Astyanax mexicanus: one gene and its partner. The protein of the gene in region 2 purifies or fractionates together with the protein of the main gene of each other region. This does not show direct contact. Links are inferred from orthologs where the notes say so. Each region holds a gene or a part of one and is shown on either strand. Other genes may lie near its edges.

Region 1 (8,149 bases), on a different chromosome or scaffold from region 2:
TGTGATGGACGAACACAGGGGTCATAAGACAGTCTCAGCTGCAGCAGAAAGAGCTCAGAAACAGGTAAGAACTTTACTGTCAGTCCTGCCATAACATAACGCTTATTCCAAATGTGAAGCAGCTCAGTGAACGAAATTTAGTTAGCTGAAATAAACACAGTAAAAGACACGGATATTCACAACTGACTCACTATGTGTGTATTATGTGACTGTTTGTGTGGTGACTCGTGAATGTTGTTGGATTTGGTCTACAGAAACAGCTGGTGCAAACTCAGAGGGAATCCCAGCAGAGAATCCAGCAGAAGGAGAAGAAACTGCAGGAGCTGAGACAGACTATGGAGACTCTCAGGGTGAGTATACTGAGCACAGGAGGAGACATTTCAGCTCTCAGTCAGAGTCCAGTGTTGGCTCACTTTCCACCTCCACTGAGCTCCACTGTGGGAAAGTAGCAGGTGAAAGAGCTGCTTCAGATGAAGCCCCTCCTCTCTGTGTGTCTCCTAACAGCGCTCTGCACAGGCAGCAGTGGAGGACAGTGAGAAGATCTTTACTGAACTGATTCAGTTCATGGAGAGAAGACGCTCTGAGGTGAAAGAGCTGATCAGAGCTCAGGAGAAGACTGAACTGAGTCTGGCTGAAGATCTCCTGAAGAAACTGGAGCAGGAGATTGCTGATCTGAGGAGGAGAGACGCTGAGCTGGAGAAGCTTCTACACTCAGAGGATCCCATCGATTTCCTCCAGGTAACATCTCTGACTCTCTGATCATCTACAGTAACACTACAGAGCTACAAGTGTCCCTCACAAAGTCTATTCATCTGTATGTGTTTCTTCATCTCTCTGCAGAGTTTCCAGTCTCTCTCAGCTCCTCCTCAATCTGCAGACTTACCCCAAATCCCAGTCAGTCACCAATTCTCCATGGAGGAACTGAAGAAAGCTGCGACTGGAGTGATGGAACGAATGGAATCGAAACTGGTCAGGTTTTCTGGAGGTATAAAGAATTATGTGAGAAGATGGATCTTTAAGAAAGTCTAAGAAAGAGAATTTAATGTGATAACATGCGTTGGTAGATTTTGAAAGATCAGAAGACTGGCAGAAACTTTAGAGGGGAAAACTGTAGTTTTACTGCATCTTCATTTCCATTATTCCAAACTAAATATTCAGATCAAACACTTGTTTTCTCATCAGAGCTTTTAAAATTTTGCTTATTCACCTGTTTCACACTGATTCTACATCCAAGCATCATTTTTGATTTATTGCTGCTATCTAAGGTGTTCTGTCATTTTCAGGGTTCATTTCTTCGTCCATGACGGCTGCTCCTCTTCAGAAATCGGAACAGCTCCTTCAGTCTCCTGAACCAAAGACCAGAGAGGACTTCCTGAAATGTGAGAATCACACACTTACTCAACCATACACACACATCTACACTCAAAACTGGACTCTTGATTCCCTTCTCCAGTTTCTACAGAAGCTCTTCAGAGTCAGTGTAGACCATCTACATGCTGCTCAAACCATAATCACACAATACTGCAGTTCTCCTCCTCACACTGTGATTTATCTTCATTTTCAGAATGAATTAAATATCTGTGAGACGCTTCTTCAACAGAGATATCATGGTTTTATTATCAGACATTTCATTTGGTGCTAATAGTTGCAGTAGTGGCAGCTGTAGACTACAGTCAGACTCAGATCATTCATTTTATCAGCACTTTAGTGAAAGAGCGTCCTCTGCTGGACACTGAGTTTTAGATTTAGAGAGAGTCGACCACACACTCCTCACACTGACCTCACATTCACATGAACAGATTTACAGAATGTAGAACATCTGAATTTACATTTATACACACTTTAATTGGTGTGTGAGTGATTGAATTATGATATGTAAATTAAAGTTAGAATTAACAAAAGTTTCTAAGAAACATTATTAATTTTCCTTTTCTCTCCTCCATCAGACACCTGTCAGCTCACTCTGGATCCAAACACAGCCCACACACAAATCGCTCTGTCTGAGAGGAACAGAAAAGCTACTCTGATGCCCCAGAAACAACAATATCCTTACCATCCAGAGAGATTTGATAGCGTTCACCAAGTTCTCTGCAGAGAAAGTCTGCCTGGACGCTGTTACTGGGAGGTGGAGTTTAACATGAATTATGTTCATATTGCCGTCTGTTATAAAAACATCAGCAGGAAAGGAGGAGATTATAAGTCTGGATTTGGGTTCAATGATCAGTCCTGGAGTCTGAACAGCTGGTACTCCAGTTTCTCTTTCAGACACAATAATAAAGAGACTAAACTCCCTGTAGTCTCCAGATCCTACAGAATAGGAGTGTATGTGGATCACAGTGCAGGAATTCTGTCCTTCTACAGCATCTCTGACACAATGACCCTCCTCCACAGAGTCCACACCACCTTCACTCAGCCCCTCTATCCTGGATTTTGGTTTTATGATTTTGGTAATGTTCTTCAGATATGTGATCTTAATTAAACTTCAGTTAGAAGCTGATCATGTGATCATCTACAGTCTTATAGGGAGTCTAGTAAAATGCAGTCTAGCCTCTGACAGGCTGTTAGAAACAACATGTAATACAGCTGCTTTAAGTCTGTCCTGTGTGTTCTATACATTATAGAATGTGTACTTTCATGGAACAGATTTAAAATGTCTTTTCCACTGTGAATTTCAGTCTTTATAGCAAATTGAATAAACTCAACATTTGATTTCAATCACAATATTTAGATTATGGTTTTAATTTGTCAGAACATAAAAAATAATTTTGCTTTTAAATCTAGTCAAATTATTGGTCAGTATAATTCTGGCAAGATAAAACGATTGGAAAAAAATGTACTCAATTAACAATGAAAAAACAGTAGCTTCATCCTTTCAGAAAAACAGTCAATAACAACTTTCTCTCCACTCTGTCTGCAATAGCACAGAGAGTCAAATACCTGCATAAAATGTATTTTTGGCTTGTCAGTCACTAGAGGATGCTCCCAAGTTAGTTCAAAACAAATTAATTGGTTTCTGTGGAGCAAATGAGCAAAATCATAGTTTATCAATGTTTGATCATTTTTATATTTAAAAAAGGTTTTTATTTTCTCCTCACAGAACAGTGTCAAATGTTTCAGAAGTAACACCAATTAAAAGCCTTTAAACAAGCACAGAGTAGCAGTAATTCTAGTGTCTTTGTTAAAAACCTGTTTGCTGTACAAAAATATATTGTGTATCAGTATATAATATATTGATCAATTTTGCTTTTCTAAAAAAATACTTCATTCTGTGGCACTGCTGAGATGTAATGTATAAAATAATAATCACAATCAATAATCTATTTCTTGATGACTGCTACAGTGTATATTGAGCCAAATTTAAGCTTAAAAATCTTAAGCTTTGTTATAATTGCATAATTCACCTCTGAACAGCGACAGGGCTAGCGCTTAACGCGGGTAGTGGCTAATGCTACTTCTGCTCCAGCTGTGCTAGCCGGAGTTAGGAGCAGTCTACAGTTCGATAATAAACACCTCTGAACGTCAAAAGAGCTAGTGGTTAGTGTGGATAGCGGCTAATGCTAATACTGCTCCAGTCTCGAGTCTCTGTGCTGGAGAACTAAACTAAAACTCCTGTATAAAGCTGCACTTCAGCAGAGTGGCTTTACTGCCCCTTACAACCTGAATTGTAAGCATAAATATAATTCATACATAAGATGTACCAGATTGTAAGGAGAACTGAGGATTTTTGGGGAAAATTAAAGATTTTAAGTGCCTTAGTGTGAGAAATACAGTAGCTACCAAAGACAGCGAACTTTAACTTGGAATATTTTTACTAAACCTACAGTTTTTGTACATTTAGTGCATTTAACAGATATAGTGCAATCTAATCAATATAATTTAATCATAAATTAAGGTTTAATGTCATCGCTAATGTTTCTCACACAGGCAAAACAAATTCAAGGTAACATTGTTTGTACGAGTTGTCAGTTCACATTATGTTCTCTTATTTTTCATTCATAATGTGTTCACTGTGTAAATACAGCATGTTTGAGGAGGCAACGGTCATGTTTGTTTTGCAGATTTAATACAGCATCTGTGAAACAGAAGCTACAGGAGCGTAATTGAGTCATGGCTTGCAGCGTTCTCAATTGGACTCCAAGTAGTACAATAACAGCCCTCAAACCCACGGCCTTAACTAGCCCTTTTTTAGGAGTGCTCAGTATCCCTGTATTAAGTTCTAGCACTGCTAAAAGTGAATTTATTATCTTTTTCTGATCAGCTAAAACAAATGTTTAAAACTTCCCTGCTGGCACACAACCGATCTTCAATATTGAAATGTGGTTAAAATATGACTAAAGTAATGTCTGTTGTTGTTTCAACGTTGAAACAACGTTCAATGGTTGTGCTAACGTTTAAATTTTAACGTTGAAACAACGTGTAGTGTTCAATGGTTGTGCTATCGTTGAAATTTTAACGTACGATTATTGTTCAATGGTTGTGCTAACGTTGAAATTTAAACGTTGAATCAGTGTTTAATGTTCAATGGTTGTGCTAATGTTGAAATTTTAACATTGAATCAACATAATGTCTTCAACCTTCTGCCTTTTGAATCAGCCTTTTACATTTCATCACCATATAATTTGAAAAAAAAGTGTTTTAATTCTATTTTTTTAGGGGGTTATTTCAACCATTTCTCATTTTCTGCAAATAAATGCTCTAAATGACACAATTTTTGATTTGGAATTTGGGAGAAAATTGTCCGTAGTTTATGGAATAAAACAACGATGTTTATTTTACTCAAATATACCTATAAATAGCAAAATCAGAGAAGCTGATTCAAAAACTGAAGTGGCCTTTTATTTTTTTCACACACACATTTTTTTTTCTGGTACCCGTGTCAGCCTTTGGGGGTCGCTGTTGTACTCTGTTAATGACGTGTTGTGTGTGTGTGTAATAACGTGGTCCCTCCCAGCGTGAAGATCTCCTGTAATGTTTATTTCAGGAAACCTCACCGACTGACACCCAGTCCGCGGGCCCGCAGAGCTCGAACCGAGGGGAGAGAAATGTGGCTGCGCTGCTGAACCGGAAGAAACATGGTGTTCGAGTCTCTGGTGGTGGACGTGCTGAACCGCTTTCTGGGGGACTACGTGGTGAACCTCGACAGCTCGCAGCTGAACCTGGGCATATGGGGAGGTGAGGGCGCTGACAGCGGACAGCGGTGGGCGCTGCTGGGACGGGCAGCACGGCTGCTGGTGTCTGTCCTTCAGGGCTAACGTTAGCTAGGTTAACTAGCTTTACTCAAACAGCAGGGCTGAGAAATGTGCTCAGGGAGGTTTCTGACGGGCTGTGGTTCAGTGGGGGATTAACTGACACACTTCAGGAATTCTAATTCCTTGTTTGGTCACGTTTAGCTAGGTTAAGTAAGTAGTTAGCTGGCTAGCCTTAACTATCTAAATGGGAACTTCAGCACAACGTTTCTGCTTAACTAAATGATATAACCTTGTTGCTATTGAAATTAGCTTTGTAGTTAGCTATCTAGCTAGGTTAGCTAACTAGCAGAGGAATGAAGTAGTTAGGTTAGTGTGTATTTAGCGTTAATTGCAGTCATTACAGTAAAGTAAAAGCACATTAGCCTGGCTACTATAAGATCCCATTTGTCTCTCTCTCACGTGGTTGTGGTTATCTGAACTGGTTTCACACCCTCTGCAAGAAGCCTGGGTGTGAAGAAAAAGCCCAAGCTCTGCTTTATCCTCAAAACCTGACTACGGTTTTCAAACTATTCCAGGCTTTCTGACACTGCTGTCAACCTCCAGAGGTGTAAACATAGCTTAGCTTCCTCTAAAAGGCTGATCTCTGTCTTTCTGATAACTGATATCATAACAAAAATCATACATTTACACTAAGTGTTTTAACCAAACCTCAATTTAAAAGTAAACAGCCATTAATCTTGAGTGAGAATCTTAATCAGATTACTGCAAGCTTTTTTCAGCAGCAAACTGTGGCTAGATTACTAGATATAAGGGTAACGTTATTCCTTATGCAGCACAACACCGTAGAAACAGAAAAATGCATGAATTGGGGGAATTTAATACAGATTCTTTAAGATATCTATGTCTTTTAGTGCATGAAAGAAATATAAACAATGTTATCCAGTCCAATGTTATCCAATCTTAGCTAAGCTTCTCAAAAAGGCTGATTTTCTGTGTTTATGATATCATAACAAACTTAATATCAATTCTGTGTGTTTAACCAAACCTCAGTTTAAAAGTAAACATTCAATAACTTTGAAGGAGAATCATAATCAGCTTACTGAAATCATTTTTCAGCAGCAAACTGTTAGCTAAGCTTCCCAAAAAGGTTGATTTTCTGTGTTTTTTGATATCATAACAAACTCAATATATTGGACAAAACATCTCAATTCACAGTGAGTGTTTAACCCAACCTCAGATTAACAGGAAACAGCCATTAATCTCGAGTGAGAATCTTAATCAGATTACTGCAATCTTTTTCCAGCAGCAAACTGTGGCTAGATTACTAGATATAAGGGTGTTCTTTAGGCAAACTGTAGAAACTGAAAGACGGAGAAATTTGGGCATTTTAACAGATTTTCTTAAAGCTATCAGCATATTTTAGGGAATGAAAGAAATATAAACAGTGCTATCCATTCTTAGCTAAGCTTCTCAAAAAGGTTTTTTTTTTTTTGTGTTTATGATATTATAACAAACTCAATATATTGTACAAAACATCTCAATTCACAGTGAGTGTTTAACCCAACCTCAGATTAACAGGAAACAGCCATTAATCTTGAGTGAGAATCAGAATACTGCAATCTTTTTCCAGCAGCGAACTGTGGCTAGATTACTAGATATGAGGGTGTTTTTTATGCAAAGCACTGTAGAAACAAAAAAAATCATGAAATTGTGTATTTAACACAGATTATTTAAGATATTTGTGTATTTTAGTGGATGAGAGAAGTGTAAACAATGTTTTTTAAACCAGTGTTATCCAATCTTAGCTAAGGTTTTTAAAAAAAGGCTGAACCAAACCTCAGTTTAAAAGTTAACATCCAATAATTCTGAATGAGAATAATTTTTTTAGCACTAAACTGTGGCTAATTGTAGGCAAAGCACTATAAAAACAGAAAAAAAGCATTTTGGGTATTTTAACAACTCTTCTTCAAACTATCTTTGTAGTATAGTAATTGAGAGAAATGTAAACAGTAAGGGTGTCACGATTCTCTAAATCCTCAATTTGATTTTATTTCCGATTTTAGGGTCACAATTCGATTTGATTCTCGATTTTCTTTTTTTTTTTTTTTTACAGCAGAGAGGCTTATTTCAAAAGGTGGGCTTGATTAAATTAACTCTGGCTCTGGAAAGACAAAGCTGAAAGCACTCTATAGTGCTATATATTTACAAATGGGGCTGAATCTTAGAAAAAAAAGTTCTTTGAGATTTAGAGCTGCAGGTAGCCAGGTAGTGTTCTCCACTGCAGTGCTGTTAGCCAATCAGAGGGGATATGTTTGCATTTCTGAATATTCATTAGCAAGAGCAGAAATCTTGTCTTTTTTCAGACACCGCCAATGTTATACAGAAACACCGGATCACTTTTTTTCACGAAAAATGGCCCTTGTGGCATTCACTCATACTAGAGCCCACAACTAGACATTTAAAAATGAATAAAAAAGGAACTTTAAAATACTGTTTAGTCCAAAAGTAGGCCTAACCCCTGTAAGGGAAACAGACTCTAAGTGTCTTAGCATTTCAGTGTTAAGTGTGTTAAGAGAGAGAGTATTCAATGTGATGTTTTCTCAGCTCAGGTTTTGTATGAAAGACCCCCATTGACTCTAATGGTGGTGGGGTGTGGAACAAGAACTAAAAATGTCTATAGCTGGAATAGAGCCTAGTCAGATATCACCAATCCAGAACTGCCAATTAATTTGCAAGTGTGATCTGAGTTTTTATACAGCTGAGTTTTATATAGTGGCGAGATAAAATACGAGATAAAAATGTTCCTTGCAAATTTAAATGCAAATTCAGTCATGATGAACGAAATGAATGAGCCAGCCCAAAATGTTTTTTCTTTAGATACTCTTGTTCCGAAACATATTGTTATGTAGCATATGAAACAAATAGAAAGCCCTTAAAAAAGGCATTGCCCCCCACAGTGG
Region 2 (7,217 bases):
TCCTTCAAAATCACACTAGAACATCAGCTTTATATTCAATTTTTTTGTGCATTATGGATCGTTATTCCATGTTGCCAGTTTCATTTTAAAGTATAAAATCAGCTCGGGCCAGGCTAATTCCAGGTTTTCCTTAAAGTAGAAGACTAGTACTCTTCAGATGATGTGTATTTGTTCTGGCCCAAGATTAAAAATTCTTTCAAAATCACACTGGAACATCAGCTTTATATTAAGTTTTTTTTGTGCATTATGGATCGGTATTCCATGTTGCCAGTTCATTTTAAAGTATAAAATCAGCTCGGGCCAGGCTAATTCCAGGTTTTCCTTAAAGTAGAAGACTAGTACTCTTCAGATCTTGTGTATTTGTTCTGGCCCAAGATGAAAAAGTCCTTCAAAATCACACTGGAACATCAGCTTTACATAAAAAAAATTGTGCTTTATGGATCGGTATTCCATGTTTCCAGTTCATTTTAAAGTATAAAATCAGCTCGGGCCAGGCTAATTCCAGGTTTTCCTTAAAGTAGAAGACCAGTACTCTTCAGATGATGTGTATTTGTTCTGGCCCAAGATGAAAAAGTTCTTCAAAATTGTACTGGAACAGTGGCTTTTTTGTGCAAAATGGCTCGTTATACCATGTTGCCAGTTCATTTTAAAGTATAAAATCTGCTCGGGCCAGGCTAATTCCAGGTTTTCCTTAAAGTAGAAGACTAGTACTCTTTAGATCATGTGTATTTGGTCTGGCCCAAGATTAAAAAGTCCTTCAAAATCACACTAGAACATCAGCTTTATATTCAATTTTTTTGTGCATTATGGATCGGTATTCCATGTTGCCAGTTCATTTTAAAGTATAAAATCAGCTCGGGCCAGGCTAATTCCAGGTTTTCCTTAAAGTAGAAGACTAGTACTCTTCAGATGATGTGTATTTGGTCTGGCCCAAGATTAAAAAAGTCTTTCAAAATCACACTGGAACATCAGCTTTATATTCAATTTTTTTGTGCATTATGGATCGGTATTCCATGTTGCCAGTTCATTTTAAAGTATAAAATCAGCTCGGGCCAGGCTAATTCCAGGTTTTCCTTAAATTAGAAGAATAGAACTCTTCAGATCATGTGTATTTGTTCTGGCCCAACATGAAAAAGTTCTTCAAAATCACACTTGAACATCTGCCTTATATTTTTTGAGAGCAATGGCTTTTAAAATATAATTTCATTAAATATATATTTTTATTATTTATTATAATATATAATTATAAATTCAGTAATTAAATATTTTACAATATACAATTGGCTCCGGACAGGATAATGCCAGGTTTTCTTGAAAGTAGGAGGCTAAATCTCTATTTCAGATATTTTTGACTCAGGAAATGAATGAATTACACTAGAACAGCAAATTCATGTTGTAAGTAAAACTGGAGAAAATAAGTGATGGAAGGTCGTGTATATAAAATTACATTTAATAAGATATTGTATATTTACATTGTTAATAAACAGCTGTACTGCTTTTCTTCATTCTATCTCCTTCAGTGTTGATCTGTGAGGTGTTTAATATAAACAGCGGGTGTTTGTGAACGCTCCCTTTAGTTCACGGTGGTTCAGTGAAGCTGCAGCTGCGAATATCAAACCAACTTCAGCCGGGGAATACGAGGCTGCGAATATCGAGCCAAACGAATCTGGAGCTGCGAATATCAAACCAACTTCAGCCTCGTAAATACACACAACTATAGCTAGCTAACATATATAAACCAGTTGGTTACATATCCAACAATCTAGATTAGCTAGCTAGGTTAACATAACTAGCCGGTCTATCCCTCATTCTCCTTACTGATGTTTGATATTAATCAATAAAATCTTATTGTGACAAGCCTAGGTGAGGTTTGGGGTCCATTAAACAACTTTTCAGAGAATAGAGCATTAAGAGAGTTTATGTAAGATTACATGAATTATTAAGCATCAATATTTAAGGGAACATTTAAGGGTTTCCCTAAAGAAAATACTTAGATAACGCTTAGCTTAAGGCATTTTTTTTGCAACACACTTACCTTTAAGGAATTGTTAAGGGCATTCTTAATGGAAACAACTAAATTAGCTAATGCAACCAGGCACAGGCCCTGAAAGCCTAGCTAGCTAGCTAGCTAACATAGGCAGGTATGGATTATTTTATTCAGTTTTATTACTGAAAGACTAAACTGACTGAGTTCATACGTTTGAGTGGATGGAGAGGCCTAGTTTGCCAGGGTTAGTTAAAACTATCTAAGATAGTAACACCAGCTGTCTAGTCAAACCTGCTCCATTATAAATAAATATATAACTCAACTGTTACACACACAACTACAGCTATAGCTAACCTATACAAGCTAACGTTAGCTAACTAACTTAACAATTTATTAGCATTAGGTTAGCTGAGATAACGTTAGCTGCTGCAGGTTAAGCTCTCCACAGCAAGCTGTCTATTCCTCATTCTCCTGTTACTGTAACGTTACTGAACTGAAGTGAAGTGAAGGGCGTTGGGGCGCTGGATGTCAACCTAGCAAGCAAGCTAACCTAACGTTAGCTATTAGCTAAGTTAGCTAAACAACACAGCTCGCCATCCACTAAGCTAACCTAGCCGGCTAGCTATCTAGCTAGCTTGTACCGTTACAGGACCGAGGCCTATCATGAACGCCATCTCGCAGTACCCCCCTCCCACCCAAAAATACCCACCCTACCTCGCCCCCTTCAAAACACACGAAGCCCTGCGTGCTGCCCCGCGCCTGCACAGCCCCCCACCCAGCCCGGGCGGGCGTCTTACCCCGGAATTTGAGCTCGTGTTGAGGTTCCAGAAGCAGGACCTGCTCCGGCCTGGCCATATCCCAGCGATTCGGACGGCGCTACTGAAAGACACACACACACGAACCAGCAGCCCTCGCAGACTCTCTACTATTCACTCGCTGCCTGCGCACACAGCGCTAATAACTCGCTAACGCTAGCCGGGTTTATAACTACAGAAACCGACGATATTTTTAAGCCACGTCCGGTTGAATAAAACTAGCTGTCCTGCTGAAAAACAGTGAGTTCAGGGCGCTGCTGCTAGGTTAGCTACCCTATGTTGTGATGCAGCAGGAAAGCGGGCTGAGGGAGAGAGAGAGAGGGAGAGAGCGAGGCTGGCTGGGAGTGACGTCACGCCGCCTGCACCAGCAGCCACTCAGCGGCTGATGTGATGCCAGAGTGGGGAATGGTGGTGGTAACCTATATGGGATATCTTATCTTAGCCTCAGACATTTAAACCCCTGTGTACAAGGGTGTCCGTCATTAATCTGACACTGTTACAGGGCCCAGGCATCAGGTTATCAGAATGTTTTTGCCACTTAAGAGTGTGCACGAGGCAATACATCACATTGCATTACATTACATTAGGATCAATACAAAAAGTCAAGTCAAGTCAACTACACTGCCTGGTCAAAAAAATTATAAGTAAATAAGTCACCACCTGGATTTATGTAAGTAAATGATGTGGGGTTGATGGTTGATGCTGCTGCAGTTGGTCTGCAGGTCTGGGTTCAGCAACAGTTTGTGCTGAAAGAATGATGTCAGCTGACTGCTACCTGAATATATGCTGAATATTCCAGACCAGGTTATTCCATCAATGGAAGATTTTTTCTTCCCTGATGATACACACGGCAATATTCCAAGATGACAATGCCAAACTGCATCATCAATGCTGCTGCAAGATCTTGGTGATAAATTAATGCAACACTGTATTGAAAATAATCTTGTGACATTGCAGAAGAGAGATTATCGATACGACGCAAAAGCGAATGCATGCCGCAATCAAAGCTAAAGGCTGTCCAACGAAATATAGGTGTGTGTAACCTTTTTTGTCATTGTTGTTGGACCGCCTTTAGGTTTGATTGTGACATGCATACGCTGTGGTAGCTTCTGCGATGTCACAAGATTTAATTCAATCCAGTGTTGCATTAATTTTGCACCATTTGCAACCATTTCTAAAACAGATTGTCCAGTCTCTATAAAGAAGTATTGCTTATTTGAAGGGGATTCTCAGCAGCAGATAAACATACATGTATTGGCACCATGCCTAATGCCATGCCTGGCGTAGAGGGATATAAAGCTCCTCTACATTAAGCTGTGGAGCAGTGGATCTGTGTTCTCTGGATTGATGGAGTTGCATCAATGGAACTTGGCTGGAAGTTACAGATGAGGTGGTGATCATCCAATATCCTGATCTCACTAATGTTCTTTCTGCTGAATGCAATCAAATCATCATAGCGATTCTATTGAAAGAAACAATGAATGATCAGGTGGGCCAACACTTTTGTTCATGCAGTGTATTAACATCAGGATAGCAGTATATTGTAGGCTGTGTTTGAGTGTATTAGTGTCACCAGCATTGCTAGAGTGCTAAGCACCTCAGTGTCACTGCTGGGTTAAGAATAGTTGGCAAACCAGAAATACCCAGCCAATAGTGTCCAGTGGTCAGAAAGTGGCCCTTGATGAGAGGTTAGATTAATGACCGTCCAAATATACAAATACAAATTGTGCATGAATAAATTGAGCTGTAATTTTACACCTAATAGCTGTATCAAAACCTTGTTTGTGTAATGAAGTGATTAATACACTAACATGCCACGTGTCATTACACAGAAACTAGTATCATATCCCATGACTTTTGCCATGTCCCATTGAAGCTAAGAAATATTGCACTGACTTGTGGGAAGATATGTTTTTGTGGCCTCCTGTTATTAGCTATTTTATTAGTAGCTATTTTATTAAACGCAAGGAGACGAAACTCAGAGATATGAGTCTGGACAGGACTAAAATTACTGGAGGACCAGGTAATTTTTTTCAGAGGACACCTGAGAAAAACACATACATGGTCGTTCTGGACGGGATTAAAATCACAGTGTACCCCCATAAGGGAGAAAATTACCCCAGGACCCTCTAAGAAACGAATCCCGTCCGGATAGGGTTTTTGACTAATATTTAGATTAGTTTGATGACCCAAAACGTGCAAAAATTTATAAATTAAATTAAAAAAAGGGGTACAAACACCTTTTCACACCAGTTAGAACACTTTTTATACTGAGCTCAGTGTGTAAACTTTTAAGGTGTGCTCTCCTTTATAGCACAAACAAAACTCACACGGAGCAGTTTCTGTTTCTGTGCCATTTTATTACTATTAAACAGCTCAGAACATCCCTTTATTACAAGCAATGTTGTTTGCAATCAAGCGAAGAAAGAAAAAAAATAAACCTCTTTAACTATACAGTAACTGATTAAAATGCAATGGGTTAAATTAGTGCGTTGTGTAAATATTGCAATACAAGGTAAATATATGTAAACTACATTGTGTGTGAACACCATTGAAGATGACCAAATTCATTCATTTAACATGCCCCCATGGTAACAATACACAAAAAAAAAACCCAAATACATCAGAACTTCACAACACATTCTCAGGACCAGCCCAAGACTGTTGGCATTTTCAGTAACATGAAATTAATTCATTCTAGACTGCTGAAGGGAAGTGAAGAATCAAACTTCCCACTCTAAATGTAACATGCTATTCCACTGAAACCCACAGAACTTCCGCTGAATGTGTGAATATGTGAACGTGTGCTCCAGCTGAGGAGTAAAGCTCTGTAACGTAGGCTAATACCACAACAAATTAAATGTAACATACACATATAAACACATCCTAACATAAAATGGAAACTTTTTTTACTTTGCTTTTATAAAGACACTTTAAGAAGCTTTTACATGGCACGAGATAAGAAAAATGAAAAAAATACATATAAAATGTAAAAAAAAACAAAAACAAAGTGATTCTGAGCTGTGTGCAAGGCTTCTGGTAGTACATCTGGACAGTTACACATCGAGTGAGATTAATATAAAAAAGAAAAAAATACGTATAAAGCTACTCCTATACAACCGTGGTTATATTTATATACTGTACATCACAATGAATGGTGTTCTTATTCTAACCAAGCTAAATGGATAAATGGATAATAACCACATACCACAAAAAGTACCATACAATCTTCATTTAGTAAAGCACTTTCCCTGAATAAATGATTACTTTGGAGATAAAATCTGCAAATACCAAAATACAAATAGATAAATTCATTAGGTTAAGTTTCTCATTACAATGAACAATCCTAAATCTTCCAATCCTTCAAATTCCACTTTACGAGTTTCTGAAAGGTGTAGTATTTATATATTTCACTAAATATAACGTAATTTGATTTGGGTCTTCAGTCTCGGGTCCTGACTAATCACTGTAGGGGATAATGGCCAAACAGCTCTGCTCTGCCACAAGAACAATGCCCAATAGTTCTCACACATTCAGTGCACAGAGCCAACAGCTCCATCTAGATGCACGAATACAGTGGCTTGCAAAAGTATTCATACCCCTTGAACTTTTCCACATTTTGTCATCTTACAATCACAAACTCAAATGTATTTTTTTTAATTGAGATTTTAAGTGATAGACAAAAAGTATTCCATAAGTGTGAAGTGTAACGAAAATGATACATGTTTTTTAAAATTCTTGGCTGAGCTTAAGCTGTTTTATAAAGAAGAAATGCAAAGCTGGAAGAGACAAACCTCAAAGCACTTATAGCTGTAACTGCAGCGAATAGTGGCTCCATTAAGAAGACTAAGTGATATATGGGGGCTGAATACTTTTGCACGTCACTTTTCAGATTTTTAATTTGATAAAAATCATGAAAACCGTGTATCATTTTCGTTTCAAATAAAATCTCAATAAAATCCATTTAAGTTTGTGGTTGTAAGGGGGCAAAATGTTCAAAAAGGAAAAGTTCAAGGGGTTTGAATACTTTTGCAAGTCACTGTAAAGTGTGGCTTCAAGACAGCCACGTGTAGGCTTAACATTCATATTAATAAAGAGGGGAGCGCAAGACCATCCAAGGCACATACTGTACATAATGCCACAATACAAATATTGGGTTTAAGGGTGTATTATATTATAGTTTCTATCCTGATATGTTATTAACCATCCATACTTTTACATTTTGGAGTTTAATCCATGCTGAAAACCAACATAGAGTATGTTTTTGTTTGAGTTTAGCTCAAGTTTGATAGTTTAGCTTAGATAGTTTAGATAGTTTACACACATGATCTGGTCAACGAGCATGGCCAAAATCAAGTGTAACATACTCGATCCGCTCGTAAGGAGCTGGTTAAGCAGCTAGCTCGCCAGTATAG

Evidence for each region. Proteins that work in one complex are often made in the same cells at the same time.
Region 1: the proteins of vapb (region 2) and vps13a purify together in Homo sapiens (affinity purification with mass spectrometry; 3 studies listed by BioGRID and IntAct, counting the BioPlex papers as one, with this or other methods). This does not show direct contact. The link is inferred for Astyanax mexicanus from reciprocal best matches to the Homo sapiens genes VAPB and VPS13A.

What each region holds. Positions count from the first base shown.
Region 1 is NC_064419.1:22,813,105-22,821,253, forward strand, and holds the start of vps13a (vacuolar protein sorting-associated protein 13A), read left to right. Parts: upstream 1-4,937; 5' UTR 4,938-5,072; coding exon 5,073-5,172; intron 5,173-8,149. Other genes in the region: E3 ubiquitin/ISG15 ligase TRIM25, read left to right, coding at 1-64, 255-350, 505-738, 841-985, 1,284-1,379, 1,947-2,479. UniProt on the Homo sapiens protein: Mediates the transfer of lipids between membranes at organelle contact sites. Binds phospholipids. Required for the formation or stabilization of ER-mitochondria contact sites which enable transfer of lipids between the ER and mitochondria.
Region 2 is NC_064412.1:55,095,016-55,102,232, forward strand, and holds the start of vapb (vesicle-associated membrane protein-associated protein B/C), read right to left. Parts: upstream 3,124-7,217; 5' UTR 2,843-3,123; coding exon 2,785-2,842; intron 1-2,784. UniProt on the Homo sapiens protein: Endoplasmic reticulum (ER)-anchored protein that mediates the formation of contact sites between the ER and endosomes via interaction with FFAT motif-containing proteins such as STARD3 or WDR44.